Lonchura striata: one gene and its partner. The protein of the gene in region 2 binds, or shares a complex with, the protein of the main gene of each other region. Links are inferred from orthologs where the notes say so. Each region holds a gene or a part of one and is shown on either strand. Other genes may lie near its edges. The genes, in order: UPF1 and UPF2.

Region 1 (15,201 bases), on a different chromosome or scaffold from region 2:
CACCCCAATACTGAGCTGGGAAAGAGCCCAAAATGTGGTTTATTCTCTGTCTTCTTTAGCCAAGATCCCACCAAAAGCTGAACAGGGATAAGTTTATCTTAATCCACATTAATTTTGAGTGGAAAATGTGGGAAAGGGGCCACCAAAGTGGCTGGAATATTCGAAACACATCTGACGGGAGTGCTGGGGTCATTTCCCTATCAAAGGAATAATTACCCCCCCCCCCAATATTAGTAAAGTTAAGATTTATTTATAAATATTAACCAGCCAAATAGGACAAAAATCACTCATGGCCTTTGTCTCTGATATAATATTTGAACAACTTAGATTTAATGCAATTTAACTGGGAGGTGCAACTTAATTCTGCCAGGGAGAACACAAAACCTTTAGCAAAAGAAATCAAAAAATAAATTAAAAAGTTGCCCTCTTCATGCTGTAATGAAGCAAACTCAGCTTATTTCTCATTTAGAGAGATCCACATTAAAAATTTAACAGCCAATTGCAAGAATTAAAGGCCAAAGCCAATTTCCCACTTGTCCTGGGCCACCAGCTCTGTTTCCAGTTCTGCAAATGAAATGAGGAGCATTTAAATACAATCAATAAATGGGCTGACTTCTATTGGTGTTATCTCCAAGCTCTGCCTTTAATAGAAAGGATCAGCCCAGAGGAACCAAGAGTGCAAAAGGGAAGCTGGAAAAAGGAATCCAGCCCCACGGCAGGAGCAGCAATATCAGCGGGGTGAGGGCAGATCCCATCAGCTGCCTGGGGAACAGACTGCACAGATAAATATCCACTTCAGATCACTGCCAGCAGAGAAATACCCACTTCAAATATCCAATTCCACTTGACAGAGCCATTGTACAAAAGGTAAATAAGGCCTGATCCGGCACAGGTGGGATTCCAAAGCCTGGGGTTTATCTGAACTCCTTACAAGCATTCCCAGGCATTTCTACCCAACAATGCATTACTTGAAGGTTGGTTGATTTTAATACATTTTCTGAGTGCTCATAAAAAACCGCCCTCCTGTTTTTTTAAAAAAAGCAGTAAAGTTTGGGCTCGGTTTGGGATTTTTTAAGGCAGAAAAGGAAGAAATGTCAAGGGCAGGAGTGGCTGTGCTGTCCCAGCCCTCGGGGAGGCAGCGGTGATGTCACCTGTGCTGTGCAGCCCCAGCCCTTGGCAGGCTGTGGATGAGGAAGTGATTGTTGCAAACCCTCCTGTGATGTCAGCCCGTGTGCACTGGATTAAAAACCTGGCACGGGCAGCTGTGGTGGCAGGGGGGCCACTGCTGTGCTGGGAAAAATGTTGGCTGCAACTTCTGGCACGGCGAGTTTGGCAGCTCCGGGCTGAGCGCTGAGAGGTGCCACAAAACTACTCCCAAAAACTGCCCGGCCTGCCTCGCTCCTCTGCTGGCCTCCAAAACATTCCCTGGGACACAAAGCAAGGGCCAGGGACCGAGCTGAGGGGCAGAAAGCAGCGGGGATGGGGAAGCTGTGCCTGCTCCATCCCTGGATGGGGCTTGGAGCAGCCCGGGACAGCGGGAGGTGGCCCTGCAGGGCTGGGGTGGCACTGAAGGTCCTTCCAAGCACTCTGGGAGTCCCTGGTTCCATGAACGAGGTGACACCATGGCATGAAGATGTCACCAGGAGGTCCCTGAGGGATCCAGGAGAGCTGGAGAGGGACTGGGGACGAGGGATGGAGGAACAGGACACGGGGATGGGGGGATATGGGGAAGGGATCGTTCCCTGTGGGGATTGGAGGTCGGGCTGGAGGAGGGAAGCTCCAGGGACACCTTGGAGCCACTTCCAGAGCCTGAAGGGGCTCCAGAAGAGCTGGAGAGGGATTTGGGACAAGGACTAGAATCCCAGCACAGGGAATGGCTTCAAAGTGGGAAGGGGAATCTGGGTGGGATATTGGGAAGGAATATCCCACCTCCAGGCTGGGATGGAATTCCCAGAGAAGCCGTGGCTGCCCCTGGAAGTGCCCAAGGAGGTTTGGAGCACCCTGGGACACTGGAAGGTGTCCCTCCCTCTAGGACCTTTAAGATTGAAGGTGGGATGGAATTCCCAGAGAAGCTGTGACCATCCCTGGAAGTGCCCAAGGGGGTTTGGAGCACCCTGGGACACTGGAAGGTGTCCCTCCCTCTGGGACCTTTAAGATTGAAGGTGGGATGGAATTCCCAAGAATCTGTGACCATCCCTGGAAGTGCCCAAGGGGTTTGGAGCACCCTGGGACACTGGAAGGTGTCCCTCCCTCTAGGACCTTTAAGATTGAAGGTGGGATGGAATTCCCAGAGAAGCCGTGGCTGCCCCTGGAAGTGCCCAAGGAGGTTTGGAGCACCCTGGGACACTGGAAGGTGTCCCTCCCTCTGGGACCTTTAAGATTGAAGGTGGGATGGAATTCCCAGAGGAGCTGTGACCATCCCTGGAAGTGCCCAAGGGGGTTTGGAGCACCCTGGGACACTGGAAGGTGTCCCTCCCTCTGGGACCTTTAAGATTGAAGGTTTTCCAACCCAAATCGTGCCGGGATTCTGGAATCCTGCAGGCTGTGAGTCCCGGATCAGTGCTGACAGAATATTCCCCTCTCACTCCTGCTCCCAGCTCCCACACCCAGCCGGGCCAGCAGCAGAGCCCCAGGTGAGCACACCTGCAGCCTCCTCACCCAGCTCTGCTTGCAAGTGCTGCATTTCAAGCTGCAACAAGAGCTGTAATTGCACTTTAACTCCAGCAGGTATTCTGCCAGAGAAGTCCTGCGAGAGGCTTCAGCACCAGCCTGCTGACAGAGTCACCCCCAGCTCAGGGGATCCCCCAAACCCCACAATTCTGGGGTGGGGTGGCAAAGGTGTGTGACTTTCCCCTCGGGGCTCTGCTGGGACTGCGGGGTGAGGGAGATTCGCTTTTTTCGCGTTCCCTTTCCCGAGGAGGAAGCCGAGGAAAGCCTCGCCCCTGGGAGGGAGCAGCGAGGGCTGGTGTGGCCCGGACAGAACAGCCTTTGTTAGCAGAGCAACGAAAGGAAAGCCAGCCCCGGCGTGCTGAGCCACCCGGGAGCCCGGCTCGCCCACACCGAGCTCCCAGCAGCGAGAATTCCACAGAATTCCCGGCTGCTCTGGGCTGGGAAGGGACCCCAAAGCCCGGCCAGGGCACCTTCCTCGCTCCCACGGTGCTCCTTGGGCAGCTCGGCGATCCACAGCTGCTCTGGTTTAAATTCCTCTGAAAACACTTCCGAAAATTCTTATGTTGATTTAATTCTAGCAAACAATGGGAATAGAATTTTCTGTAGAAAATGTTTGTGCTCTACTCCTACTTTCGACCATTGGCCGCTAATCAAGTGTAACACTATTAATTAAATATATTGGGAAAGGAAGTTTTTCCCTAAAAAATGAAGTGCCCTGCATGGCTCAACTCATCTTTTTAAAAAGACCCCAGAAACAGCAGAGCAAAAGTTTCCACCTCCAATATTCCTCAGCTCCAAATACAATTATTTACTTAATTAGCTTTAATTATAATCACAGGGCTAATATTTCATTAAGCAAAACCTGATCAATTGGAGAAGTCATTATTTAAGATGCCTCCTGCCAAAAAGAATAACAAACTTCAATCATCTAGCGAGGGCAGCAAAACTTCTGCCCAGAAGTTTTAAAAAACCCCAGATTTTGTGATTTTATCAGCCCTGAGCCCATTGAGAGGGGCAGGTCTGAGCAGATCCTGGGCTTTGTTTTACTTCACCCAGGAGGAAACGGGGCCTGCTCCTCCTCTGAGAGTCCCTCCCCAAAAATGACATTTCTAACATCAAAATGAGCAGCAGGATGACCGCAAAAGTTTGCAGAAACTCAAAACCACCCTGAGTTTTTAAAAAAATCAACCCAAAATCCCTTCCTTTTAGCCAGGAGACAAAACCAGTACCTGAAGGTGCTCTCCAGAGATTTTTTTTTTTTTACTTTGACCTCAAAGGTTTTTCAAACATGTTTAGACAAAAAAAAAGGCCAATTAATTATCCTCTTGCCTGGACTTTCAGCTTATGAGGCTGATTTTGGGGTGGTTTTTCTTCTCCTTGGCCACAAATTCCCTACTGGGAGCTCTGGAGTGATCACAACCCATTAAAGGTTTAAAATTAAATGTGATTAAAATTCTCTTTTAATGTACACAGAGATTTTACTGCTGGCAGAAAATAATTCTGATCTCTCAATGCCCAAAAACTGGATCAATTCTACCAAATCCAAGAGCTGCAAATGAACAGAAAATAACCCAAGAGCTCTGACTCACAGTGACCTGAGCACACCCCTGCAGTCACCGAGCACTTTCAGGCAGAAAAACTGATTTAATTTGTGCTGGGATAAACCCCCAGCACAGGAGAAAGCCTCGCTCAGCCCTGCCCTGCACACCTGTGGAGCTGGATGTGCTCCCTGCTCCCATTCTGCTGCACTCACACACCCACCTGGGGCAGCTCCTGCAAGGAAAAGGACAAAAACCAGGCCCAGGATGTTTGGTTTGGGCATAAAAAACTCACCTAAAACTCTCAATTCCTTTTTACACTCATCCCTTAACACGTGGGTGATGTACAAGCATGTAATGGTTAATAATGGGATTTCTGTGAGGGACCTGAATATTCCACGATCTTCAAACTGGAGAAAAGTGTGGCTTTTTTAGAAATACCGGAGAGTTCTTTGGAGTTTTTGTTGTTTACTACGGGCACACTGAGATTGTTATCTTCATTTGCTGCACTTCTTGTCAGCTGCAATCCTAATTCCTCCCCTGCCTACGAGTTGTGAATTGCTAAATAAATACAATTTCATTCTCTTCTAGGCATCAACTGCAATAATAAAAAAAAACAAAACAAAATAAAACTAAAACCTGTTGTTAAACCACTAAGAACCAGAGCTCAGAACTTGTCCCTACCACACAATCCCCAAACAAACCCAACAGCTGCGTAGCGACAAAGTGGAAACTGAAATTTTAAAAAAAAAAAAAAAAATCAACATTCACAGTAATAACAAGCAGAAATTCAAGCGTTATTTTAGCGAGGGGAAGTAAAGAAGAAGCAAAGAATTTCGTCAGCGCCCAACTTTGGATAACAAACACCAGCGAAAGCTGATTGTTTTAAGGAGAAAGAACCCGAATTTCACCCCGCCTCGGTGGTTTTTTCTTTCCCTCCTCCCCATCGCAACGCCACAACTATCGCGACTCGGCCGCAAGTTTCCTGCCGGCACCAATCCCGGTGGAATCCCGGTGCAATCCCGGCGCAATCCCGGCGCAATCCCGGCTCCCGGGGCCGGGCTCCCCCCGGGGCACCGACCCCCGCTCCTCCGCCGCTCACCTGCGCTTCCAGCGGGCCCGGCGCTCCCTGCCCCGCGCCGGGGGCGCCCTGGCCCTGCGCCGGCCCCGCCTGGCCCGGCCCGGGCGGGGTCTGCGTCTGGCTGGGGAGGGTGAAGTCGGTGAACTCGAACTCGGAGCCCTGCGTGTCGGCGCCGAGCAGCTCGGCCTCCTCGGTGTCCAGGAAGGTGAGGGTCTGCGAGCTGGGGCCGTACGCCTCCACGCTCATGGCGGCGTTCTGCTGCGGGCCGGGAGGATCCGTCCTCCCCACCCTCACCCCGCCCCCGCCGCGGCAGCCGCGGGCTTCCCCCTCAGCGAGCCCGGGCGGCCGCGCTACGCGAGCGGCGGGATGCGCCGCGCGCACCAGGCCGCGCGCCCCAACCCACACGCACAAACGAACCCGCCGCCGCCGCCGGCTCGCCGGGCGGCCCCGGAGCTAACGGGCGGGAGAAGGGAGCGGAGCGGGCCCGGGAGTGCGGCCGGGCTCGGTCGCTCGGTCGGTCGGTCGGTCGGTCGGTCCGTGCGGCCGCGGCCGCCGCGCGCCAGGCCCGTGAGCGGTGACGCGGAGCGCGCGCGCGCGCGGGGGGGCGGGGGGGGGAGGACGCGCCGGCGGCAGCGCGCGCGCGCGCGGGGGGGGTGGGGGGCGTGACGCACGCGCAGCACGCACCGGGGAGGGGAGGCGCGGCGCGGCGCGGCCGCCAGGGGGCGCGCTGCGCGCCCACGCAGCCCGCACGGGGAGGGGGCGGGGCTTGGCGCTGAGTGACGGGTGTGGCGGCCAATGGGATGGTGAGGTGAGAGGGAGGGCGGGAGGGAGCGGCGCGCGGAGGGAAGGGGCGGGGTTTGGCGGTGAGTGACGGGTGCGGCGGCCAATGGGAGATCGAGATGAGGGGCGGGGGCTGAGGGGGTGGAGAGGTCACTGTGAGGGGATGGGGTGGCTGGGCACCCGTGAGGGGTCACTGTGAGAGGATGGAGTGGCACTGGGCACTTGTGAGGGGTCACTGAGGGGATGGACAGGTCACTCTGAGGGGATGGGGTGGCACTGGGCACTTGTGAGGGGTCACTGAGGGGATGGACAGGTCACTCTGAGGGGATGGACAAGTCACTGTGAGGGGATGGACAGGTCACTGTGAGGGGATGGAGTGGCACTGGGCACTCGTGAGGGGTCACTCTGAGGGGATGGACAGGTCACTGTGAGGGGATGGACAGGTCACTGTGAGGAGATGGGGTGGCACTGGGCACTCGTGAGGGGTCACTGTGAGGGGATGGGGTGGCACTGGGCACCCGTGAGGGGTCACTGAGGGGATGGACAGGTCACTGAGGGGATGGGGTGGTCACTCTGAGGGGATGGGGTGGCTGGGCACTCGTGAGGGGTCACTGAGGGGATGGACAGGTCACTGTGAGGGGATGGGGTGGCACTGGGCATTCCTGAGGGGTCACTGAGTGGATGGACAGGTCACTCTGAGGGGATGGACAGGTCACTGTGAGGGGATGGGGTGGTCACTCTGAGGGGATGGGGTGACACTGGGCACTCGTGAGGGGTCACTGTGAGGGGATGGGGTGGCTGGGCACTCGTGAGGGGTCACTGTGAGAGGATGGAGTGGCACTGGGCACTCCTGAGGGGTCACTGTGAGGGGATGGGGTGGTCACTCTGAGGGGATGGGGTGGCACTGGGCACTCGTGAGGGGTCACTGAGGGGATGGACAGGTCACTGTGAGGGGATGGACAGGTCACTGTGAGGAGATGGGGTGACACTGGGCGCTCGTGAGGGGTCACTGAGGGGATGAGGTGGCACTGGGCGCTCGTGAGGGGTCACTGAGGGGATGGGGTGGCACTGGGCGCTCGTGAGCTGTCACTCTGAGGGGACGTGGTGACACAGGGCACTCTGAGGCCACGGGGACACTGTGGTGACAATGGGGTCACCTGTGCCCACCATAAGCTGCCAGCTCTGCCTGTTCCCTTGGAGCTGGCGGGAGGGACACGGGGTTAAGTGGGAATTAAGGAGCGGGAATTACATTAATTCCTGCTCCAGCTGTAATTCCTGTCCCACCTGTAATACCCCACAGCTCTGAGTGAAGGCTGAGCTGCTCTGGGCGTGCTGCACTGGGCATTCTCTGAGCTCAGGGCCGTGCAGAGAACATTTCTACCTTGAAATAAACCAAAAACTTAGAATTTACCCTCATTCCATTCGATCAGAACACAATAAATCCCTTCTTAGTGTTGGGAAAGGCTGGATATTCAGTGCCTTTTCCCGTCCACATTGAGATGCAAATATGTATCTTCTCTTATAAATAACTTGGATTTTATATTCTTGCTTTTGGTGTAGGATAAAGCCCAGCCTGAAACAACATGTACCAGATCTGCGGCTGCTGGGCTGAAAAGATGGAGATTGGAAAACATCCTTGTCCTGGGAATATTGTGCAGCAAAAGGATGGGAAAAAACCAAATCCAGGGAGCACAGGAGTCTCCACTTCTGCAGAGAGACTGAGTTCAACTTCCTTTGAAGCAGAATAAACTGTTCAGACCAAAGCATAACGGGGAGAAGCATAAAATAACATTTGAAGATGAAAGTGGAGCCGGAGCGGGGGGAAAAAATTATAGTACAAAGCCAGGTGGCTGCTTGCTGCAAACACTTTTATTTATTAATAAACACACCTCACTCCTAACGTTTGGCTGCTTGACAGAATCCTCAGAAGTCTTGGAAAGGGATCAAAGTTGTGCTCTCCCTGTGCCTGCAGAGCTCTTTAGGGACAGGCTGGAAATTCCCTCTGTGGGTTTGTCCCCCGAGGGTGGCCCTGGGGACACTCCGGGGCTGCTGTCTGAGGTGCTGAAGCTGCAGATCCCCCAGCACTGGAAAAGCAGCTGGAAAACCAAACTGGTTTAAACTGGAGGGTGAAATTCTCTTTATAGCAAGGCAGAGCAGAGGCACGTGGATTTTGGGATGGCTCTGCTTCATCGCAGCGCTGGAAGCTCTGGGGGCCGCTTTGAAGCTTTTCAGGATAAAATGGATGCACAGCCAGACTGCAGAGCTGCCAGGCTGCATTTTCTGTATTTTTTTTTTTTTTTTTTGGGTGTTTTGTGCAAGTTTTCTGCCTCAACCCCGGGCTGCTGCAGAGGAGAGGCTGTGACTCACTGGGCTTGACTGCTGTGCTGCCAGTATGGAATTTAAACGGGCACAAACTGGCACAACTCCCTGCAAACGCTGCTGAGTTTCCCGTCGCCCTGCAGATCAGAAGCTGGGATTCACAAGGAGATAAAAACGTGAGTGAATTCATATTTTAAGAGATGCTTTCTGCTCGCAGGAGGTGCAGAGGGGATTATGCCGAGGTGCTGATGAGGAGTGACAAACCCAAGCAGCTGGAGGTGCTGGAGAGAAATCCCAGCCCTGGAAATAAGGAGAGGCCTTTCCTTGAACCTGGTTTGAATTCCAGAGCCCAGCAGCTCTGGGATTTGCTGGCATCCTCCTCCTCCTCCTCCTCCTCCTCCTCTCGGGGCTGTGAGGGGAAGGCAGGGATGGGATTGGTCTCCAGGAATTCCCAGCCATGGAGATAAGGCTGGAAGAGCTCTGTGACGTGAGGGGGGCACAGCCAATGGAGCCCAGGCTGGCCAAAACGGGGGAAAAGTGGGATATTTTTATCCTGGCATGGAACAATTCGGGTTAGGGGGAGTGAGGGTGGAGCAGGGAGCAGGTGGGGAGGGAGGAGCTCAGGGGAGCTCCCACCCAGAGCAATAAATGCACCCAGGGTGTTGATGAAGGGCAATAAATGCACCCAGGGTATTGATGAAGGACAATAAATGCACCCAGGGTGTTCCTTAAGGACAATAAATGCACCCAGGGTGTTCTTTAAGGACAATAAATGCACCCAGGATGTTCCTTAAGGACAATAAATGCACCCAGGGTGTTCTTTAAGGACAATAAATGCACCCAGGGTGTTGATGAAGGACAATAAATGCACCCAGGGTGTTCTTTAAGGACAATAAATGCACCCAGGATGTTCCTTAAGGACAATAAATGCACCCAGGGTGTTCTTCAAGGACAATAAATACACCCAGGGTGTTCTTTAAGGACAATAAATGCACCCAGGGTGTTGATGAAGCAATTTTATCGCTTTATCTCCTCCCTGCTCTGTTCACATAATTTTATTTAGTGCTCAGGGAGCTCAGAGGGTTTAAAAATCACAGAATTCCAGGATGGTTTGGGGTGGAAGGACTTTAAATCCCATCAATTCCCACGGGCAGGGACACCTCCCACTATCCCAGGTTGTTCCAACCCCATCCAAGCTGTCCTTGGGATGGAGAATCCACACCAATCTCTTCCAGTGCCTTCCATAATAAAGAATTTCATCCAAACGCTCAATTTTCTTCATTTCCTGTCTCTGTGTTCTGCCTTTTTTCTTCCCTTTTTACTTAAAACAAATCCTAAATGAAAATACCTTAATTTTTTACTTATTTTACCACACCTGAATACCAATAAATGAAAGAATAACAAAAAAATCTGTTTTTTAAAAAAATTAAAATATTCTCAATGCTGACAAAATTACAGTAAAGTAATAATTATTCTTTTTCTAAAGGGTTAAATCCATAGGGAAAAAAATTGGGAATGAGTTTTTCCAGTGCCATTTCTCCTGAGTTACCACGAGAGGGACACAGAAGGAAAGCAAAAGGAGCTGGGGAAGAAAGAATCCAAGGACCAGCTCGAGGTGGGATCATAGCAACACATTTCCCTTTTGTTTGGGAATTTCTGGGATCACAGCATTCCTACAAATCCCATAAAATCCTCCAAAATCCCTAAAATCCTAAATTCATCCCATTAAACCTTAAAAAATCTTCACAGATAATGGGCTGAGAAACCTGAATAGTTAAAATAGTTTTTTTCCCCCCCCACAGATTTTCCTCATTTCCCATCAGCTTTTTCCCTTTGGAATGTCAGCACAGGGAGAGGTTGGGCTGGCTGGGATTTTGTTCCATCCTGGAGCAACAAATCCCACAGGATTTTGTGGGTTTGGGGAGGTATTTTTGTTTATTCCCACTGATTTTTTGTTTATGGAGGCTGGGGAGGTATTTCTGTTTATTCCCAGGGAATTTTCACTAATTAACAGCTGATGATGCAAATGCCAGGAAATCCCAGATCCATAAAATTCCTGCATGGAACAAAGGCCCCATGAAAGCCCCTGAAGTAAATATTGAATATTTCGTGGGCTCTTGTGGAGTTAAAGATCCCAGTCCTGAAATGGACTGGAATCCATTGGAATTAATGCAGAGTGGATTTTTAGGGACTCATCCTTAATGGCAGCAAAGCTTCACTTCCAGCCCTGGCTGGGCAGGCTGGGATTGGGATAAAAACGCTGGAAAAAAGGAAAATGGGAGGAAAAATCCCTTATTTTTTAAGAATTATAACTTTATGGACTTCAGTCTTGCATTTTACAATGTGACAACATTTTAATATCACACTAAAAGGCCCATTGAGTGCTGGGACCCTGAGTGGTCATTTAAAAATATTTATACTTTTATATATTTAATAACTATTTCTATTAATATTATATAATATTGTATCTCTATATTTTATAATTTTATACTCATATTTGTATATTATTGTATATACCTAATTTTATATTTATTTATATAACTTAATGTTTTAATATTTATTTTTGTATTTTTACCCGTTAATACCCAGAATGCTTTCACAAGCTAAGAACATCTCCAAAAAGTGTTATTAAATAAGTGTAAGAATGTCTTTAATTTACCAGAAACTTTAGTACAACAGGAAATGCAAATCCAGCTCTGATTTCAGCGGGGAAGATTTGCAGAAAAGGGTTTTTCCTCATGATTGTTTTTTTTGTTTTTCAGCAAATTGTGATAAATCTGATTAATTCTGCTTTATCTGCAGGTTTAATTGGGGATACACAAATATTCCCAGAACAAGTCACAGGGATGTAACTCCATGAGGGAAAAGGAGGAGAAGATTTTAGCCAAAATCCAAGGATTTTGAATGAAGAAAGTTCTCAGAAATTAAGGATGGTGAGTGACATTAAAAGATAGCAGATAATAAAAGCTAACAGATAATAAAAGATAAATAATAAAAAATAACAGCAGGAGATGAAAAGGAAATGAAATTTGGTGCTCTAAACCAGCTCCAAATGGATGCTATATATAAATAAATAAGTAAACTCCAATAAATTAGGGTTGAATATTAAAATAAGAATTAAAAATACTGAGTTTCAGTGGGAAACTTGAAATCCTTCTCTCCAAAATCGTGTTAAAATTCCCTTCCCTTGAAAAGGTCTGAAACAACAGGACAGGACCTGGATTGGAGGAATTAATGTAGGGAAAAAAGCTTTTTATGGACAGAACTTGTGCCTTTTTTAGGTTTTTAGCTGCAGAATCACCATGTGAAGTTAAAACTCACCAAGAAAAAGCCAAGAGTTCCTAAAATCCAAGGGAAAAAATGCTGGAATTCCTGAATTTATTCAAGGAGATCTTTGGGAGGATCTGTTCCCTATTAAAGCTGCCTCTGGAAGGAGCAGAATTGTTAAAAATCCTCAATTTCCAAAGGGGCATAGACAGCTCTTGGGGGAATAAAATGTAAAAAAAATTAAAAAAAGGGATTTCTCCAAAGCAGATGTTGTTGGAGCTGAGCTTAAAAACAAAATGTGGAGCTCTTGATGGGCTCCAAAATGTCCCTGTTTGTTGGGATTGCTGGCAGCCTTCCTGGGCAGATGGAGGTGATTGTGGAGTAATGGAAAATCCAGGCTCCCACAGGCTGGGATGTGTGTGTGGGGCTGCTGAGCCTCCCCAGAAAGAGAGGAAAATGGGGGATTTCCAGGTTATCCCCTGGAAATTTGGGATTGGGTGCACTTTCAGCAGGTTTCGGATGTGGTGATAGCTGACTTCTCCTCAGATTTCGTGCTGATGCAGGTTTTTAATTCTGGGGCGGGCAGAACGCTCAGGGTTAAACCTGAGGTTGGGTTTGCATCTTCAAAGCACAAAAAAAAATCACTTCAAAATCAGGAATTTTGGAGTCCCACCCTGGCTTTTTCTGTGCTTTCAGTGTAAGGGAATAACATATTTACATTCTCTGCATAGAAAATAAATCCTCCCAAGGAAATCCTTCTTTCCTGCTGTGGAGAAATCTTAATTTGGCTCTTAATGTAAGGAATCAATAATTGGGATTTGGCTGAGTGTCCACGGTGTGTTTGGCCACACCAGGACTTCCAGGAGGGCTCCAGGATTAAACACCCTCATCCAAAAATGCTCTGAAACTGGAAAATTTAATTTTCTGGCCTCCGTCCCTGAAGAATTTTCCTTTTCAGTCCCTTTTGATGTTAAATTTGCCCAGCTTGGCCTTATCTTCTCCTTGCAAATAGTCCAAATTTGAAAAAGAAGGAATGTAAAGTCATTTCTGCTTCCACACCTGTAGGAAAAACTGGTGATATTTCATCAAGTGTACGTTTCTTTTTCATTTTTGCTGAACAAAAATCAAGCAGAATTGAGGGACCCCAAAAGGGTTGGGTGTCGCAGTTGTTTTGCCACCGTGGAAGGCCTTTCCAAGGAGCTGTTTGTCGTGTCTGGGGGGGCGGTTTTAGGAAGGGGAAGGAATGTTTTCCTTGCAGAATTCTGTGGATTTCTGGAGGAACCCAGCCAGGGCTGCCCTCAGGCCGTGAATGGTCTCAGTGTAGTTCTGTGAGGCCTTCCCAGAAGTCAGGAGCTGCTTGGAAATGAACCCAGGAATGCCATCAAACAGCCTGGGACGAGATCAAGGCGGCTGTGGGCTCCCAGGCTGCCCCACATCCCCCAGGGGGAACATTCCCACCCCAGAGGGCACCGACACCCCAAAACAGAGGGACCCTTGAACTCTGGATCCGTGCTGGGAGGTTTCCCCTCGTCCCACCGATGCTCAGGGCTCTTCCAGCTGCTCCCTTTGCCAAGGATGCTGGCTCGTCCCTTTTCCACGTGCTCCCACAGCCTGGGGAGGATCCTGCCCCCAGCCCGGCGGCGCTGGGCGCTGGCTGCGCCTCAGGATCGTGCTGGAAACACCTCAGCAGCTGCTCCGTGCAAGGAGGCAGCGTTCCCACCGGGAAGGGCGGCCAGCTGGACAGGGAATAACGCTGCAAAGGCCGTGGAAATTCGGGGAGAAGGACTTCTGCCATGCTGGTCCCTTCAGAATCACCAGCAGAGCCATTCCAGAGCCTGCCACAGGTGCTCCGGTGGACGTGTGGCCTGGTGGAGCTGCTGGATTCGGAGCAGGGCCTGTGGCAGCACAGCAAACCCATGGAGGAGTCTGGAAACTCTGAACTGGGCCGCTTCTGCTAAAAACGGCACCGCTGGCCTTGATTTATGAGCAAACAGAAGGCTGCAAACGGCCTCGGGAGCCTGGCCCAGAAATCCATCAGCCTGATGTCATGTGGAGAGGGCCCAGAACACAGAATTATTTTTATGGAGTTGTTAGCAAGTGTTATTAAAAATTTGAAAAGTTCAATTGGATTTTTTTTTTTTTTGGCTATAGGATGAGGGCAGAGCAGAAGTCCTGGGATGGATGTGGACAAGACATTCCAGTTCTAGGCCACCCTTCCTGGCTCCAGATGAGAACACGGCTTTGCTGGAAGAGGGGATTGCAAAAGGGGATGTGAGGGAGGTCTGGAGAGCAATAATTTTAAACAGCACTTCAGCCATGATGTCATTTCAGCTGAAAAATAATGTTCGAGTTTGGGCAAACAGAGCCCGGGGCCAGCAGCCAGGGTGGGGAGAAACTGCAGCAAAATGGAAAGTCCAAAGCGTGGAAGGTCATGGTGGAAAACCAAATCAGAATAACCCTGAAGAAAAGTGGCTAAAAACCCTGGAATTTTCTGTGAGCATGAAGATTCCAAGGAAATGGAGGGGAGGAAGATGTTCAAACCCTGGACAGGGTTTTCACTCCTCTTGTCTGGAAGTCAGAAGCCAGATCCTGGAGCACAGGAACAGCCTGAAGGATTGTTGTGACCCCAAACTGTGATCCCAAAGTGATCCCAAGCTCTTCTCCTGGGATTTAACCCAAATCCAGCCAAAATCTGCATCCACATCCTTTGCCTGAGAAGGCCAAAAGGCTGAAACAACCAAGGGACGTTGTTCCAGTGGATTTGGACATCAAAAATACCATCTAAAAACTGCTTTGTGGGGTTTCTCCCTCACGGGCTGAAATGGAGGATCACCCTCAGGCCAGGCTGTAGCCTCAGCCCTTTCCATGGGGTTTTAATTGAATTCCCACTAATCCAGCCATAGAAAGCTGAGGCTTGCTCAGCCTTGGATAAAGCCTCGCACATTTTGTCCTTTTCTCGTTCCCTGTTCCACCACAAACCTCAGCTGGGGGGAAAAAACCCAACAAAGCAAGCGGAGGAAGGGGCACCTGCAGCTGGAAATGACAAACAGCTCCTGTTTCAGGAGGAGATTTAGGACTTGGAGCTCCCCAGGAACAACTTCTCTTCCCGCTGTGCTGGGAGCCAGGAATGAGCTCAGGCTGTGAGATCAGATTTTGCTGAGTCTACAGGGTTAGGCTTGTTCTTTCCTCTTTTCCAGAAGTTCCCCTCTCCAAGCCATGCCTGGATATTTGATTTCCTGGGGAAATCTCAGCAGCTTTTGCTGCCTTTTGTGTCCGGGACACTCAACTGTGCCAGCAGAAAAAGTTGCTTTTGTCATTCCCGTTTCTCCACCTGAGCGTGGGATTCCTGGAATCCTGTGAGCTTTTCCTGGAAGAAGTGGTGCAGGCCGGAATGGCTTGTGCAGAAAGCACTCCAAGGCTGCAGAGATGTCCAGGAGGCAGCTGGAATTCAGGGAGAGCTCCTGGAATTCTCTCTCCTGGTGGGTACTTCTCTGGCTGTCGATGAGCACCCAACATGCTCTGGCTCGAGGGGAAGCTCAGGCAAGA
Region 2 (14,734 bases):
TGTGTGCCAGTGCTATATGATAGCATCAACTATCTAGTTGATGTCTGCATCAACTCTGATTTATTCTTCCAAAACCTTGGGTGACAGCATACTTTAAGGACAGTAAAACAGATAACTGTAATGGTGAGAGGAAAATACAGAATAACTAAGCCAGAGCACAAGATTTCACAGAGCTCTGCTCAACCTAATGTAACTAATGGTCCCATTAGTAACATTTAATATGAGCTGTCAGATCATTAATCTAAGAGTACCTTACTTTTGAAGACTGATTATTCATGGGTTTACAGCATCATTATTTCAGTAATGGCTGGTAAATTAATTCAGCAACAAACTCCAATGAGATTCCTGTCTCGCACTGCTTCAGGCAAAACCTTGTACTTCTTCCTCCTGCACACTGTCAAAGCCTTTCAGGACAGTGATTGTTCTTTTTTTGCATTAATCATGTCCAGAATAGTAAAGGATCCATGACAGATTCCACGACTATTACAATCCAGTAACAGGGAACAAAGTACCTGGGACTCTAGCATCAGTTTGCACAAGTGCTTTTTCTCTTCAGGTGTAAATGCTTCTTGCTTTAGCTCTTCAAACCTTTTAGCAAACCATTCTCTCTCCTCCAAAGTTGGAAGCTGGCTTGTTTCTATGGAAATATGCCCGCAGTATATATGGTCAAGATAAGCCATCACATCCTTTACAGAAGCCTCCTCTTTTCCCATGTTTATAAGTCCTGGTGGGAAATAAATGCTATTAGTCACTTTGGGGGAGGAGAGGAAGCACTAAGGCCTGTTTTGGAGAAAATAAAGCAATGAGAAAGACCACCCTCCTTTGTTTAAGGCTGCAGCAAGGCTCTAAGAGAGACAAGAAAAGACAAATCTTTACTTCTGCCACTGTACTTTCAAACCTTCACTACAGCATTAAGTATTGTGATAAATCATAGAATAGTACAGTAACACAATAAATTAATGTTTAACCTCAGTAGCTGTAAGAACAAGCATAAATTTTCATGATTTCCAAAGATGCTAGAAGGCAGCCTCTCACTGCACTATGGTTTCTGCAACAGACTATGCTGAAGTTCTGTTCAACAGTTTTCATCACTAATTGAGCCACCTCTCAATATCTGACTATTCCACAGAGGCCACAGCCCCTCAACAAATCACCCATGAACAGAATTTGCTGCGATAAGGCTGTGGACTCACCTGTAGTAACGAGAGGACCCTGAAGAACTTCAGCCAGCTCTTGGATTTCAGGTACCATGTTCATAACAGCTCGGCCAGCAAACAGTGGGTTTATTTTGGCAGCTTTGTGGCCATGTTCAGCATAGGCAGTTATTAAACGAACAAGAGCATGGTCAACTAAAACCAAAAAGAAAGCAGAACAGCATCACACATGTGCTCAGATTAAATCTACTTACAGCATCAACACAGGAATGTTTTGTCAGCTGGCAACCATCAAGGTTCTGGCTGGAAAGAGAGCTTTTCCATGCAGTTATTTCTGTCTTATTACCCTACAACAGCTCCCATCAGCAAACTGCTAAATCTGCTTCTCCATACAATTTTCAAGAAAGTACACTCTAGATTTCCCCCACAGCATAGGTTAGGTTCCTGTAAACATATGGAAAGCTACTTTATTTTGCTTTGAATCTCTTTACAACAGTAGCACTGTTGTAAACCAAAACCACTACAAACAGGTATGTTCAAGTCAAGCTCAGCACATTACCAGTGTATAGTCTTATTTCCTAAGCCAACTCAATCCTATCACTTATGCTTCCTTGTTCCTTGCTGGAATGACAGGATTGGGTCTTAACAATAATTCAGGTCCCATGACTTCAAAAAAACCAAAGTCTGTCTGCAGGAGCCAAGAGCATGTGCAGAGCCAAATGTGGTAAAAATTATCGACATGGGTAGAATTTGACCAGCTGAGAGGTCACACACATGTTACTGAGCACAAACACAGACCAGGCTGATAGACTGCAAACCATAACACATACTGCAAGCACAACTTGCTACAAATTAATGTCATGAACCAGCTTATAAAGCATTCATAATGTGGAGGGGTTTTTCATCCTGGTAAAAACGTAGCACTGACAGTAGTCAAGTCTGAAGGCTTTTGTTTTCCAAAACAATGAAATTCTCAGACCATAGCACAAGCTTATTTCTCTGACACTGGTCAGCCCATTCAAAACAGCCCCTTTTCTCTACTGGGATCTACAACACAGGGACATAACCCAGACATAAGGCTAACAGTGCCCACAATGCTCTCAGCAAGGAGGCCGTTTAAATGCAATTTTTAAAATGTTACATAAAAATATGTTAATCATTAACAAGGAGGCTACTTTGTGACGGGTCTCAGTGTCCAGGATGAGACTAATTTCACTCCTGCTCTGGGCAAAGGCTTTAAATCCTACCAGGGTCACCAGAGTAAAGTTAATGTAAGCACCAAACTCCTATCTAGAAGAGTTTACTGCTTGAAATCACCTTTCTGTACTGTAAAATGGAGCTAAAAGCAACACAGGATTGCTACAGGAGAGAGTTACCTGTATTTAATAATGAAATCCTGTAATGTTAAGGGGTTGGATGGGACCTTAGAGATCATCCCGTTCCAACACCCTGCCGTGGGCAGGGACACCTCCCACAAAGTTTTATCCCATTTGGCTTTGAACACCGTCAGGGTTGGGGCATCCACAGCCTCCCTGGACAAGCCGTTCAGTGTCTCACCACTTCAATTGGGTTAGTTCAAGCCCCACGGTATAAAAGGCGCGTGGCAGAGGTGCTTCTACGAGCAGCAGAACTCTCCGAGAGCCCCTCGCTGAGCAAACTTCAGCAGCCGGTGCTCTCACAGCCGCTTCAGCCCGTGGAGCGGGGCCACGCACCCCAGGCTCGCAGGACCCACAGCCAAGAGCTCTCGGAGCGGGTCTGCTCCGCGCTCTGCCCCGCGGGAACAACACAAGCAACACCTGAGAGCGCCCGGGCCCCGCTCGGGGCAGCCCCGGCGCGGCCCCGCGGTGTCCGACCTGCTCCGCCGGCGCCGCGTGGCTCCTCCGCCCGCCCGCCCGCCGCCTGCCGCGGTCTGTAGCCGTAGACGCCGCGCTCGGTGCGGTACCAGCGGCTCGGGCCGGCCCGGCAGAGCGCGCAGCGCACGGCCCGAGCCCCCGCCGCGCCCGCCATGGCCATGGCCGCGCTGCCCCCGCCCCGGGCCCCGGGGGCGGCGCCCGCAGCGGGGGCGCCCGGCGGCTCCTGCCCTGCCGAGCGGAACGAGCGGCGCACGATGGTCTGGGCTCCAGCGAGGCCTTTTGGGGTGCTGTGCCCAGCACAAGGGAGACAAGGAGCTGCTGCGGAGGGTCCAGCGGAGCCTCCGGAGCATCTCTCCTGTGAGGAGAGACTGTGGGAGCTGGGCATGTTTAGTCTGGAGAAGACTGAGAGGGCGTTTCATGAATGCATATAAATGTCTCAAAGGTGGGTGCCAAGAATTTGGTGCCAGACTCTTTTCAGTAGTGCCCAGCAACAGGACTAGGAGCAATGGCAGTAAAATAAAACCCAAGAAGTCCACCTTAACATGAAGAAGTTTTCATTGAGAGTGGCAGAGCACTGGGACAGACTGCTCAGGGATGTGGAGTCTCCCTCTGTGCAGACATTCACAACCCACCTGGATGTGTTCCTGTGTCACCTGCTCCAGGTAACCCTGCCTTGGCAGGGGGGTTGGACTGGATGATCTCCAGAGATCCCTTCCAGCTCTTACACTGGTGAGACCCCACCTGCAGCGCTGCATCCAGCTCTGGGACATGGCCCTGTTGGAGCAAATCCAGAGGAGGCCACCAAGATGATTAGAGAGGTGGGGCACCATTCCTATGAGGAAAGGCTGAGAGAATTGGGATTGTTCAGCCTGCAGAAGAGAAGGTTTCCTTGTGACTTAATTACAGCCTTCTAGTACCTGAAGGGAGTCTGCAAGAAAAGATGGAGATGGATTTTTTAGAAGAACATGTAGTGAGAGGATAAGGTGGAATGGCTTCAAACCAGGAGAGTGTAGGTTTAGATTAGGTATTAGGAGGATGTTCTTTGCTGTGAGCAGGGTAAGGTACCAGAACAGGTTGCACAGGGAAGTTGTAGATGCCCTACCTGTGGATGTGTCCAAGGACAGGTTGGATGGAGCTCTGATCAGTCTGGAATAATGAGAAGTGTTCCTGCCTGTGGCAGAGGGCGGCATAAGATGATCTTTCAATGTCCCTTCCAATCTCAACTTTTCTGTGATCCTGTAAACTTTGTGTGAATGCAGGTCTGGGGTACTGGCAGGTTTCCTGTCCTTAGGCTTGGTTATGCTCCTGTAGCCTCCACCATGAGGAAATCAAAGAGTATTTTTTTTGTCCAAATCAAACTATGGCATTTGCCTTTGGAACAGGTGGAACTGGATTTCAGAACTGAATCAGTTCTGACACCCCAGTTGGTCTGGGATTTTATATTCACAGTTCTTGCAGAGGGGCCACTTGTGTTCCTTGAGGCCTGTATGGTTGGGTTTATGCATATTTATAAAACCCAATATGGGAGAAAAATATAAAAATAAATTACTTTTAATGCTGCAAGGAGGGCAAAAGGATACAGCAACAGAAGGACAGTGGACATGTGGCCCATTCAGTGAAGGTGGTAAAAATGTAGCTGAGGATATTAATATTTTTTTCAATTAGAGTGAAGGAACCTTAAAAATAATGCTGCAAGATGATGTGATTTTTTTGAAGCTGACAGTGGAGAGGGAGAAAACATTGACGTAGTTAAAAATTTCCATTTTGTGCTTGGGGAAAAAGACAAATGTTGCAGGCAGATTACAGGATGATGAAATGCTTTTCCATAGTTCTTAAGCAAATACCAGTCAAACAGCAGATATCAATGTGGTTTTGCTTTCAATCATATAGGCAGTTAGTTGAATATTTCCCAATTAGCACTGATACGAATAGGCTTGAACAATAAAAATTTTCCAGTTTCTCTAGAGAGATGTTTCAGACACACTCAGAGATGTGTTCTCTGGATCTCAGAGAACTAATTATATATTCTCAGAGAATATTTGTATATATAAGTTCACTTAATAAAAGTTTAATAAAATCTAAGCATGTGTTTATGAAATATATATCTCATCAAGTCAACTTGTTAGGGTTTTTATGTGAATCAAAATCCAGTTAATAAAGATTTCACAGATTTTCCAGCATAATCATCTTGTGTAGGACATGATTACACGTGACAAAAACATTGCTATAGCTATATCTAAGTCAAGGAATGGCTTTGTTGACTTTGATTCATGTCTAAACATGAGAAAGTGGTACCTGTGCCAGGAGAAACACCACTGCTGAGGGCGTAGGCAAAGTGACTCTCCCAGCCTGGCTCTTCTGGCACAAAGCCTGTCCTAGAGAAGGCTCCTGTGTGAGGCTGATTTAGAACTACATGATGCTCTCACTAAAAAATACTAGAAACGTCCAAAACCAAGGCTATACACACTAAATAGTAAATGTCTGGCTGAGCACTGGGAATATTGTTAAAGGAATTACCCTCCTTGCCACTTCAGTAGTTAGATCAACCCAAAAAAGCTGCCCACACCTTGAGTGCTGATGAAGTTTGTCAGCTGGAGATAAGTGGTGAGGAGAGGTTACCTTCAGTCTGAGAGTCAAGATGGAGATAAGCAAACACAATTTATTTTAACAGGATGAGGTGAAAGCTTGCACTCATTGAAAGAGTATGTGCACTAAAATGTAGCTCATTTCCAGGAAACAGGGGCTATAAATAACCTCCAAAAATAATGAGAAAAAAGCAGGTGGGTCTAAAAAAATTATGTGGATATCTACTAATTCAGAAAGGAAGATAATTTGCTGGATTTGGCTGCAAGGAAATATAGAGGACACCTACAGATTCTACATTTGGCCAGTATTTGGCACAATTTGAATACTGTGTGCAAGTTTGGTGCCAGTAATTGAGGAAACATATAAAAAAATTTGGGAGGAAGAGCTTCAAGAAATAAAAAGAGAGATGCTTTATGTCTGAGATTCAGGGAACAACAACTACCTGCTTTTGATTTTGGTAAATCAGTACAAAAGCTTGATTAGCATGTGCACAAATGAAACAGGTCATTTAGGAGGAAAAGTTTGCTGAAGTTTGCTTGCGTGGCCCTTACAAGAAAGAGCTCCAACATAATTGTAGGTGTGGGAGTGTGGTATAAACACAGAAGGAGATTTTGATTCCCTTTCAAAACCATAGTGATTGCGCTTTTTATTCATGTTGGAAAGGGTAGCAACATCGTGCTTCAGAAGAAAACAAGCCAGCATCTCTTGTTGTAATGCCAATGCCACTGATAAGCCAAGTATAACCCAATTCCCCCTAAAAAGAATCATTGAGGTACTCATTGACAGGCCAAAGGATGGTGCCTTTAGAAAATAAAGTACCAACACTAACATGGATTTCCTCTCCCCCTTTTTGCCATGTTCTGCCATGGATCTTCTCCACTCCAGTGAATCAGTTTAATCAATTTGGTAGTTTAAGTTATTTTGGCAAGCAAATGAGATCTTTGTGAGCAGGGACATGTGAATGATCTGTACCAGTAACAAGCACAACTCCTTTCAAACTTGTCCAGAAAGAGGTTTTTAGACATGTCTGTAAAATGTGCAATGACGTTAAACAGCAGAGAGGAAAGCTCTCCTATGGAAAAAAAAAACAAAAAACAAAAAACAAAAAACAAAAACCTGTCTAGTCCTGTAGCAGCTTTGGCAGAACACACCTAAAGCTCTGCATCAGTAAACAGTCTCTTGCCTCTGGATAAAAAGCAACTTTAACAGCTGAATAACCTTGTTATGTACAACCAGGCCTGTGCCTGCTGTCAGTGTCCAATATTGCTGAAGGCTTGTTCTAAGCCCAGAGGGCTGTAAAGGTTTTCCCAACATAAAAGCTTCTATCAGAATCTGGATTCAAAATGTAAAATAAACACCAGATTCTCACTCTGCAGCTCTGAGCTGTGCCAGCTTTTGAGTTGCCCAAGAGGTAATGCCTTGCCTAGAACTGCAGGCAGAGAACATTTCCAACAAATCCAGGAGCTTTGTGCCACTAAACTCACCACTGTAAAATATCCTCAGATGTCCAGGTGGGAACTGTGACTGGACAAGAGGGCAGAGAGACCAAATTTAGACTAGAAAACACACCCAATGACAGAATCACAGAATGAGTGGGTTTGGAAGGGACCTCTGGAGATCATCCAGTCCAATCCCCCTGCCAAGGCAGGGTCACCTGGGCAGGTGACACAGGGACCAGGTGGGTTATGAATGTCTCCAGAGGGAGAATCCGAGAGCAGCCTCTCCCAGTGCTTTCCTCATTTGAGGTGAAATCTCTTATGTTATATTTTATGACCATTGCTCTGTCACTCAGCACCACTGAGCCTGGCACCACTCTCTTGGCACCTGCCTCGGAGATATCTGCTTGCATTCATGAAATGCCCTCTCAGTCTTCTCTTCTCCAGACTGAAGAGGTCCAGCTCCCAGAGGAGAGATGCTCCAGAGGCCTCCTCATCCCTGTGGCTCCTCTGCAGCAGCCCCTTGTCTCCCTTGTGCTGAGGAGCCCAGAACCGGGCACAGCAATGGACACCCACGAAAGCACCCCTGAGGCAGTAATTTGTTGTTCAGACACCGTCACCGCAATGTTTTATCACGGCGACACCTGAGGGCCCCACCCGCGACATGACAGCTGCCGTGACGCCTGGCGGGCACAGACACGTCACCGCAGTGACGTCATGCGGCTCCATGAGCCGAGCGGTGCTCTGAGGCCACCAGGGAAGCGACATTCAGCAGCTATTTCCCCCTCCCCCGCCGCTCTGAGGGACGCGGGGCCGAATCCTTTCCCTCGTCCGTTCCCATTCCCGTTCCCATTCCCATTCCCATTCCCATTCCCATTCCTCTTCCCCTTCCGCCTCCGCACCCCCGGTACCAGCCCGCCGGCAGGACCCCGGCCGGGCTGCCCGCCGCGCTGCCTAACCGCCGCCCCTCGGGAAGCGCCGCTCCGCGCCGCCCGCAGCCGCAGCTCTGCCGCCGTCAAGCGGCGCCGCTCCTCCCTCCGCGCCCGGGCGTGGCGGGGCGGGCGCGGCGAGCTCGGTCGGGGCAGCGCCGTGGGTCAGGCAGCGCGGCGGCGGCCCGGCCGCCGTGAGGGGAGAAGCGCTCGGGGGCCTCGGAGGGGAGGAGGAGGCGGCGGCGGCGCCGGGCGGGCCCATGTCGGCACCGGGCACAGGTACCGCGGCACCGACCGGGCGGCAGGGCGGTGCCGGGCCGTGTGCGGGCACGGGGACTCGGGCACGGGGAGAGGAGGGCACAGGGGCCTGGCGGGGGCACGGGGAGTTCCGGAGGCGGAGGGGCCGCGGGGCTCGGAGCAGGGAAGGCTCGGGTGGCGGTGCCTGAGAGCGCTGGGAGAGGCAGGCCGGGAGAGCACCGGAAGCTGCAGTTGCCGAGCTGCTGGTCCCATCCGGGAAAGGGCCCGGGCTGCGGGACAGCTGCCAGCGGGGATTGGGGTGGTAGCGAAGAAGTCTTTTTATACTTAGTGCCTTGTCTATAGGCCGCTGTTTCACGGTGGAAAGCACTTTCCTGCAAGTTTAGCAGCAAAACATTTTCCCCGAGAGGTATAGAAGCGAAAGTAAAAGTGCCCGGCTGTTCGGCAGGTCGGCCAGAAGATGTGTCAGTGGCCTGAAGTTGTGTCAGGGAAGGTTTAGGTGGGATACCAGGAAAAGATTCTTCACCCAGAGGGTGCTTGGGTACTGGGACAGGCTCCCCAGGGCAGTGGTCACAGCACCGGGCCTGCCAGGACTCCAGAAGTGTTTGGACAATGTTCTCAGGTACATGGTGTGACTCTTGGGGTGTCCTGTGCAGGGACAGGAGTTGGACTTTGATGATCCTTAAAGGACCTTTCCAAGTCAGGATTTTCTGTGATTCTGTGATCCTTCCCTGCCACTGTGTGGGGGGCTCCTCTCTCTCTGCACTACATTTTTTTTTTTCTGTGTACTGTGTCTCATTTTCCAAAACCTGTAAGTTTATTTTCTCCTCGCTGACCTTCATGTTTCTCTTATGCACCTTCCCTTGCATTAAGAGAACCTTAATTGCATTTTAGTTTTTGAAACTTGCAGAATTCTAGTGGTGTGATAACTAGTGATGGAGGAGTTTGTTGCTCTTTGAGACTTTTCAGCCAGTCAGAGGTAGGACATCTTGCCTACATTCGTTATCTCCCATATCTCTTCTGTAATAGATTAGCTGCAGAAAGGACTGTTTATATAATCCATTTAATGTCTAGTGAAAAATTTCATTGTGTTTAGTTTAATAGAACTGTATTTCCTTTCTTCATACTTGTGTTTGCAAGGATGGGGATTCTGGATCATGTTACTACAGGCTTTGAGAGTAGACTGTTTTTATTGATTTAAGGATATTGCTTTGAGGGCCAAGGTGCTGATGTTTATTGTTTTATTCTGAATTGTGAGTGGATTTGTGATGCTGAACACCATATGTTACTCTCTGCTTTCCTCATGAGTAAATAACGTAGATGGTTTTTCTGAAATGTTACTTCTGTATTTCAAAACTACTTCATAAGTCTATGAGCTCAGAGTATCATGAACCCAGTCCCATTCTTTCAAATTCCAAGATAATTGTTTAAAAAATTTAGAAACTTAAGTACAATAAAAATTGACTTAATTACAAATGAGTCACTGTATGTCAAATATTGAAAAATTAAGAAAAATAGTTCCCTCTAAAAACATGTTGTCTGTAGATCCTGAAACTGAGAAGGGGTGTTAAAACATGTAAGTATCACTACAGAAATGGGCTGCCAAGAGTCTAAAGGCATAGGGATGTTTGTCTTGTCTCTGTTTTCTCTGTCCTTCCTAATTTTCTGGTGTGAGTGTTGGTTTGTCCTGTCTGTTGGCTTATGGAGTTCATGTCATTATTATGCCTTTTCATCAGTACATTAATATAAATGTGAAATATTAAATAGAATAAAGTTTATCTTCATGTTTCCATGCCATCTTCAGCTTTGTTTTCTATGGAGATGAGGCCCAGGTGAGCCAGCTGTCTGTTTCCGTTTTCCCCGCTCCCACAACTTCAGGGAAAGTTGCCTTTGGACAGTTCTGTCTGCCTGTCACGGGAGCTCTGCCCGCTGTAGCCCCGCCTGGCTGCGGCTCCGCGCTGGGTCAGCGCGGGCGTAGCTTGGAGGCAGCGGCAGCACCGCCTCCCGCTGCCCTCGGGGTTTGGTGTCGGCACGAACGAGCTGGCAGAGCAATCGGAAAGGTTTGGGAGATAAGGAGCTGTACACGTAGTGAGAAGTATTGCAACATACCTGTTCTGGGGCACAGAACAGAATCCTACTGTAAAACGAGATTTTTGGGGGTTTTGGGACTCCAGTGTTCACTGGGAAAAATTGGATAATACTGCCATGTGGTCAGTTATGCTCCATTCCTTTTCTTTTTATCCCATCTTCTCTGGTTTGGTTTTATACAAGCAAACATCAGATACATCTTTAAAACAGAGTTCCTAAATTTGGTATGAGCTCAAGCACCATAATGATTGTGGTAAATGACCCTGTTGTTAAAAGTTAATTGTGCAGCTGGCTAGATATTTTGTTCAGAGTATTGGAATTGTGACATGCTGTTCCAGCATTTCTTTAAACATAGGCAACCCCTTCCCTCTTTGGTTAAGTACTGATTTCATAATAATACTGTTTTAAGATCGGTGGTTTTGGAATTCAAGTAGTTCTGAAATTTTATAGTTGTAGACATGCATTAGGGAGCCAAATGTGCTCCTGCTTGTTTAAACAATGCTGATTTGATTTCCATAAGTCAGTGTTAGAGACATTTCCCCTTTGATGCTGTTGCCAGTTGCTGCCAGAGGCCAAGTCATGAATAGGTTCTTTACCAACTGGTAAGTTGTCACTGCCCAGGTGTGAGTACTGGTACTGTAAATTTTTGCAATCCAGTTTTTCTTCAGAAGCTCCGGATGAGCACCTTAAATATTGTAATACAGTTTCATCTGGGTAGGATAGACAGCATATAAATATGTCATTTTATTGTTTGGGAGATGGCAGAGGGAATGTGTCATGCTTATTAAGAAACATATATTCTTTATTGTGAAGTTTTATTTATAAACATATTTCAAAATAGTTAAAATTAATACCAGGAACACTCTGCATTAGATTGGAATGCAGGTGTCTCATTATCCACTCTGAGTAGATGTAGGGAATTGGTGAATCTAGGATCTTTTCATAATCCAGAGTAAAATGTTAGAAAGGCAAAAGTAGGGGTGGCCATTGGCAATCAAACTGGTGTTATTAATAAAAACAAAGTGATGGCTCTTCACTTGAAGCATGTTAGTATGTGAAAATTATCTTTTGTGTTAAGAATTTAATTTAGCCTGAAGTAAAAGCCTGGGTGGTTGTAATTGCCTCTTGTGGTCCTGCCTGGCCCACCTGACCCTTACATGAGTCAGCAGAATGCCCTTGCATTCTAGGCTGTAGTACCAGGAGTTAACCAGGAGGCTGAAGGTGAGTCTTCTCCCTCTGCTCAGTACTTACCACATGCAGGTGTGGGTTCTCTGTTCCCAAGAAAGGCACTGACACACTGAAATAAGTCTCTTGGAAGATAACCAAAAACATAGGGAGGCTGGAGGACATGAGCTGAAGAGAATCAGAGAGAATTGGCTTCTTGATCTGTAAGAAGTGAGGGGTAAATCTTACAACTGTCTTAAAACAGCCTGATGGGAGAGTATTGTGAAGATGAAGCTGGCTTCTCCAAGCTGTGCAGGGATAGGATGAAAAGAAACAAACACAGTATGGGGCATGGTAATTTCCAGGTTGGTATTAGGAAAAGCTTTTTCTCTGTGTGTCCAGAGGGGACCACTGCTTCTCTGTTCCTGGAGATACTAAAGCCTTAGCTAAGCCTCTGATCTGCTTGGAGCAGGGGCCCGAAATAGGTGCTCATGATAGTTTCCTCCTAATCAAAATTGCCCTGTGTTTTTACCGTTTTGTGTTCAATATGTGTTACATTTTGTGTCTTTAGCCAGATGAAATCAAAGCTTGGAGGGCTGGAAACCCCAAAGATGCTAAAGCTCCTACAAAAATGTTGGTTGAGTAGAAGGAGAGAGAAATTGTAGTCTTTGATAAGTCTTGATAATTGCAGCCTTTCTGATATTTCCGTTTGCTCTGCTGGGAGGGAGGTTTGTGCATCCAGCTTTGTCAGCACTGCTCGCTCTTCAGCTGCTACTTGTGCTGAGTGCTGGAGATGCTGGGGAAATCTGGGGAGGGGTGAGGAAAGAAGGAAGCAAGTTGATGCCTTTTCACAGGGAGGATAATCTGCAATGAGGATCACAGTGAGGATAACCTGCATTGGAGCAGATTGGCCAGAGGAGTTGTGGAGTTTCTGTGCCACTTTTCTTTGACACTTTTCAAGACTGGAACTGCTTTGAGCAGGAGGATGAATTACATGAGGTCTAATCTAACCTGCATTATCCTATGATCCCAAGTAGTGGTAGTGGAAGCGGGGGCATTCTTAGGAGATATATAGAAGGGTCAATGAGGTGCAGATGCATAGTGATGTATCAAGCATGTACTTACTTTTAAGTTTGGAGTACTTTGTTTTCATCAGTCTTGAATTATTTTTCTTTCAGATGAACTTACTTATGTTCAAGATCTTACATTCCTTGGGTAGTAGAAACTTCAAGAGGCTTTTATTTCACAATTCATGCTGGAGACAGCTTTGCAGAATAACATGTTTACAAAATGATTTGTTTTTACTTGTCAGGTCCCTTCCTTAGTTGAAGAAAACATAAACCTTTATCCTGATGAGTCATGCATTTGTGAGTTAAGTGAATATGGGTGGGCTATGAAAAATGACTAAAATATCAACAGCAATTTTAAAGTATTTGTTTTCCTGTGGTTCTGCAGGTTTGCCTGGATAACACAATGCCAGCTGAGCGCAAAAAGCCAGCAAATATGGAAGAAAAAGAATCTCAGTTAAATAATAAAGAAAAAGAATTTAGTGAAAGGCGACCAGTGAGCACCAGGGAGAAGCCAAAAGAAGATGTGAAGGTTGGCATGAAGAGAGAGACTTTAAAGGTTCCTGAAGATAAAAAGAAAAAAATGGAAGAGGATAAAAGAAAGAAGGAAGACAAAGAGCGGAAGAAAAAAGAAGAGGATAAAGTAAAGGCAGAAGAAGAGCAAAAGAAGAAAGAAGAAGAAGAAAAAAAGAAACTTGAAGAAGAGGAGAAAAAGAAACAAGAGGAGGAAGAAAAAAAGAAACAAGAAGAAGAAGCTGCTCAACTGAAGTAAGTTATCTTTTAAAGGTTTAACTGTATCAAATGTTAGAGTTCTGTTATCAGGATTGTGGTCAGAGTTATAAAAGATGAAGTGTTGGAGTTTCTTTTAATAAGTTGCATGTAGTGTTACCAATTTTATGTGCCTGTCTGACTGTGCTTTATGACTTCTAAGAGGTTTTGAGTTTTCACTTGTAACTTCTGTTAGTTTGGTCTCTGCTATGGGGGTTTGTTAGTGTTCTGCATATGATGACCATGGAGAGCACAGCTGTGCTTGAGTAAATGTTGTGATTTAACCCCAGTTGGCATCAGCCCCACACAGCCACTCCCTCCCCTCAAAAGGATGGGGAAAAGAATCAGAAGAGTAAAAATGAGAAATCCTGTGGGTTGACATAAAGACAGTTAAATGGGTAAAGCAGAAGCTGTGCAGGCAAGCAAACCAAAGCAAGACTCCTCCTTGGTGGGGTGGGGTGTGGAGCAGAAAAGGCTTTGACTGTGTGTAAGCCCATCCCAGCGGTAGTGAAAACATCCCTGTGTTATCAACACTGATTCCAGCACAAATCCAAAACACAGCCCCATACAGGGTACTCTGAAGAAAATTAATTCTGTCCCAGCCCAAACCAGAATAGAGAAGCACAGATGCATTTAAGATGAAGTGTTATTGTCCAAAAATTGGGAATACAGACTTAACAGGTCTACAGATCATACATAACAGGAGCAAATCTGATGTGATAAATTACATTTACTCAGTCATAGACAACTGATACTTGGATGGCAAACTCAGAATGTAACCTGGAAGTTTAATATGTGATATTACCAAGACCATGTTTCTTATTATGTTATCCAACCGTAGTACAGTGTTGAATGTGGAATCTTTATAGGTCTGAAATATTTACCTTTTAAGATTGAGGCAATGTCATAGCCAGATTCTAGCTGGAACAGATATATTTCACATATTCCAAATTTTCTGTGTAATTTCATTAGTCTGGCAATAAAAATAAATGTGTGATACAGTAACCTGTTGAAAGGTTGTTTCCTCTTCTGTGAGAATTTCATCTTCATCTGTAGTAAATGGAGTTTCATGTTTATATTTTCAAAGTCTGTTGGGATTAGTATGTTCTGTGTAGAAATATTTGAGAAATTTTGTAACAAGTAGTCCTTGCCCTTTGCAACACAAAAATTAAGCCGAGCTTCTGAAGCAGATGCTTTAGCTTTCTAGGATTAGCTTAGTAGATATTAAAGAAGAGAGGTGAAATGGTGTTAAAACTCCTGAAGGTTTTCCAACTGTGACCTTTTCTCCTCTGTCCTGATACTCTGAGATTAAGGCTCCATAACAAAAATGAGTAATTCTTATGTCGCACAGGGAGAAGGAGGAAGCACATCAGCTCCATCAGGAGGCTTGGGAGCGCCATCAGGCAAGAAAAGAGCTCCGCAGCAAAAACCAGA

What was found.
Region 1: the proteins of UPF2 (region 2) and UPF1 are in contact, whole or in part, in a crystal structure (PDB 2WJV), measured with the Homo sapiens proteins. The link is inferred for Lonchura striata from reciprocal best matches to the Homo sapiens genes UPF2 and UPF1. Residues at the interface, in NP_056357.1 of Homo sapiens: Val1105, Cys1107, Glu1109, Asp1110, Phe1113, Ile1114, Ala1116, Leu1117, Met1120, Met1121, Asn1124, Leu1125, Arg1128, Met1169, Pro1170, Phe1171, Val1172, Met1173, Leu1174, Thr1175, Gln1181, Lys1184, Leu1186, Asn1187, Val1188, Pro1189, Ser1192, Gln1193, Leu1194, Asn1197; in NP_001284478.1 of Homo sapiens: Asn150, Thr151, Ser152, Gly153, Val157, Asn158, Leu160, Val161, Arg162, Lys164, Lys166, Pro175, Leu176, Gly177, Thr179, Tyr184, Cys188, Asn190, Val191, Phe192, Leu193, Phe196, Pro198, Asp202, Ser203, Val204, Val205, Val206, Leu207, Cys209.

The regions. Positions count from the first base shown.
Region 1 is NC_134630.1:7,310,665-7,325,865, reverse strand, and holds the start of UPF1 (regulator of nonsense transcripts 1), read right to left. Parts: upstream 5,607-15,201; 5' UTR 5,536-5,606; coding exon 5,311-5,535; intron 1-5,310. UniProt on the Homo sapiens protein: RNA-dependent helicase required for nonsense-mediated decay (NMD) of aberrant mRNAs containing premature stop codons and modulates the expression level of normal mRNAs.
Region 2 is NC_134607.1:67,039,020-67,053,753, forward strand, and holds the start of UPF2 (regulator of nonsense transcripts 2), read left to right. Parts: upstream 1-8,107; 5' UTR 8,108-8,237; intron 8,238-12,920; 5' UTR 12,921-12,938; coding exon 12,939-13,300; intron 13,301-14,651; coding exon 14,652-14,734. Other genes in the region: DHTKD1 (2-oxoadipate dehydrogenase complex component E1), read right to left, coding at 513-724, 1,194-1,349, 3,008-3,167. UniProt on the Homo sapiens protein: Involved in nonsense-mediated decay (NMD) of mRNAs containing premature stop codons by associating with the nuclear exon junction complex (EJC).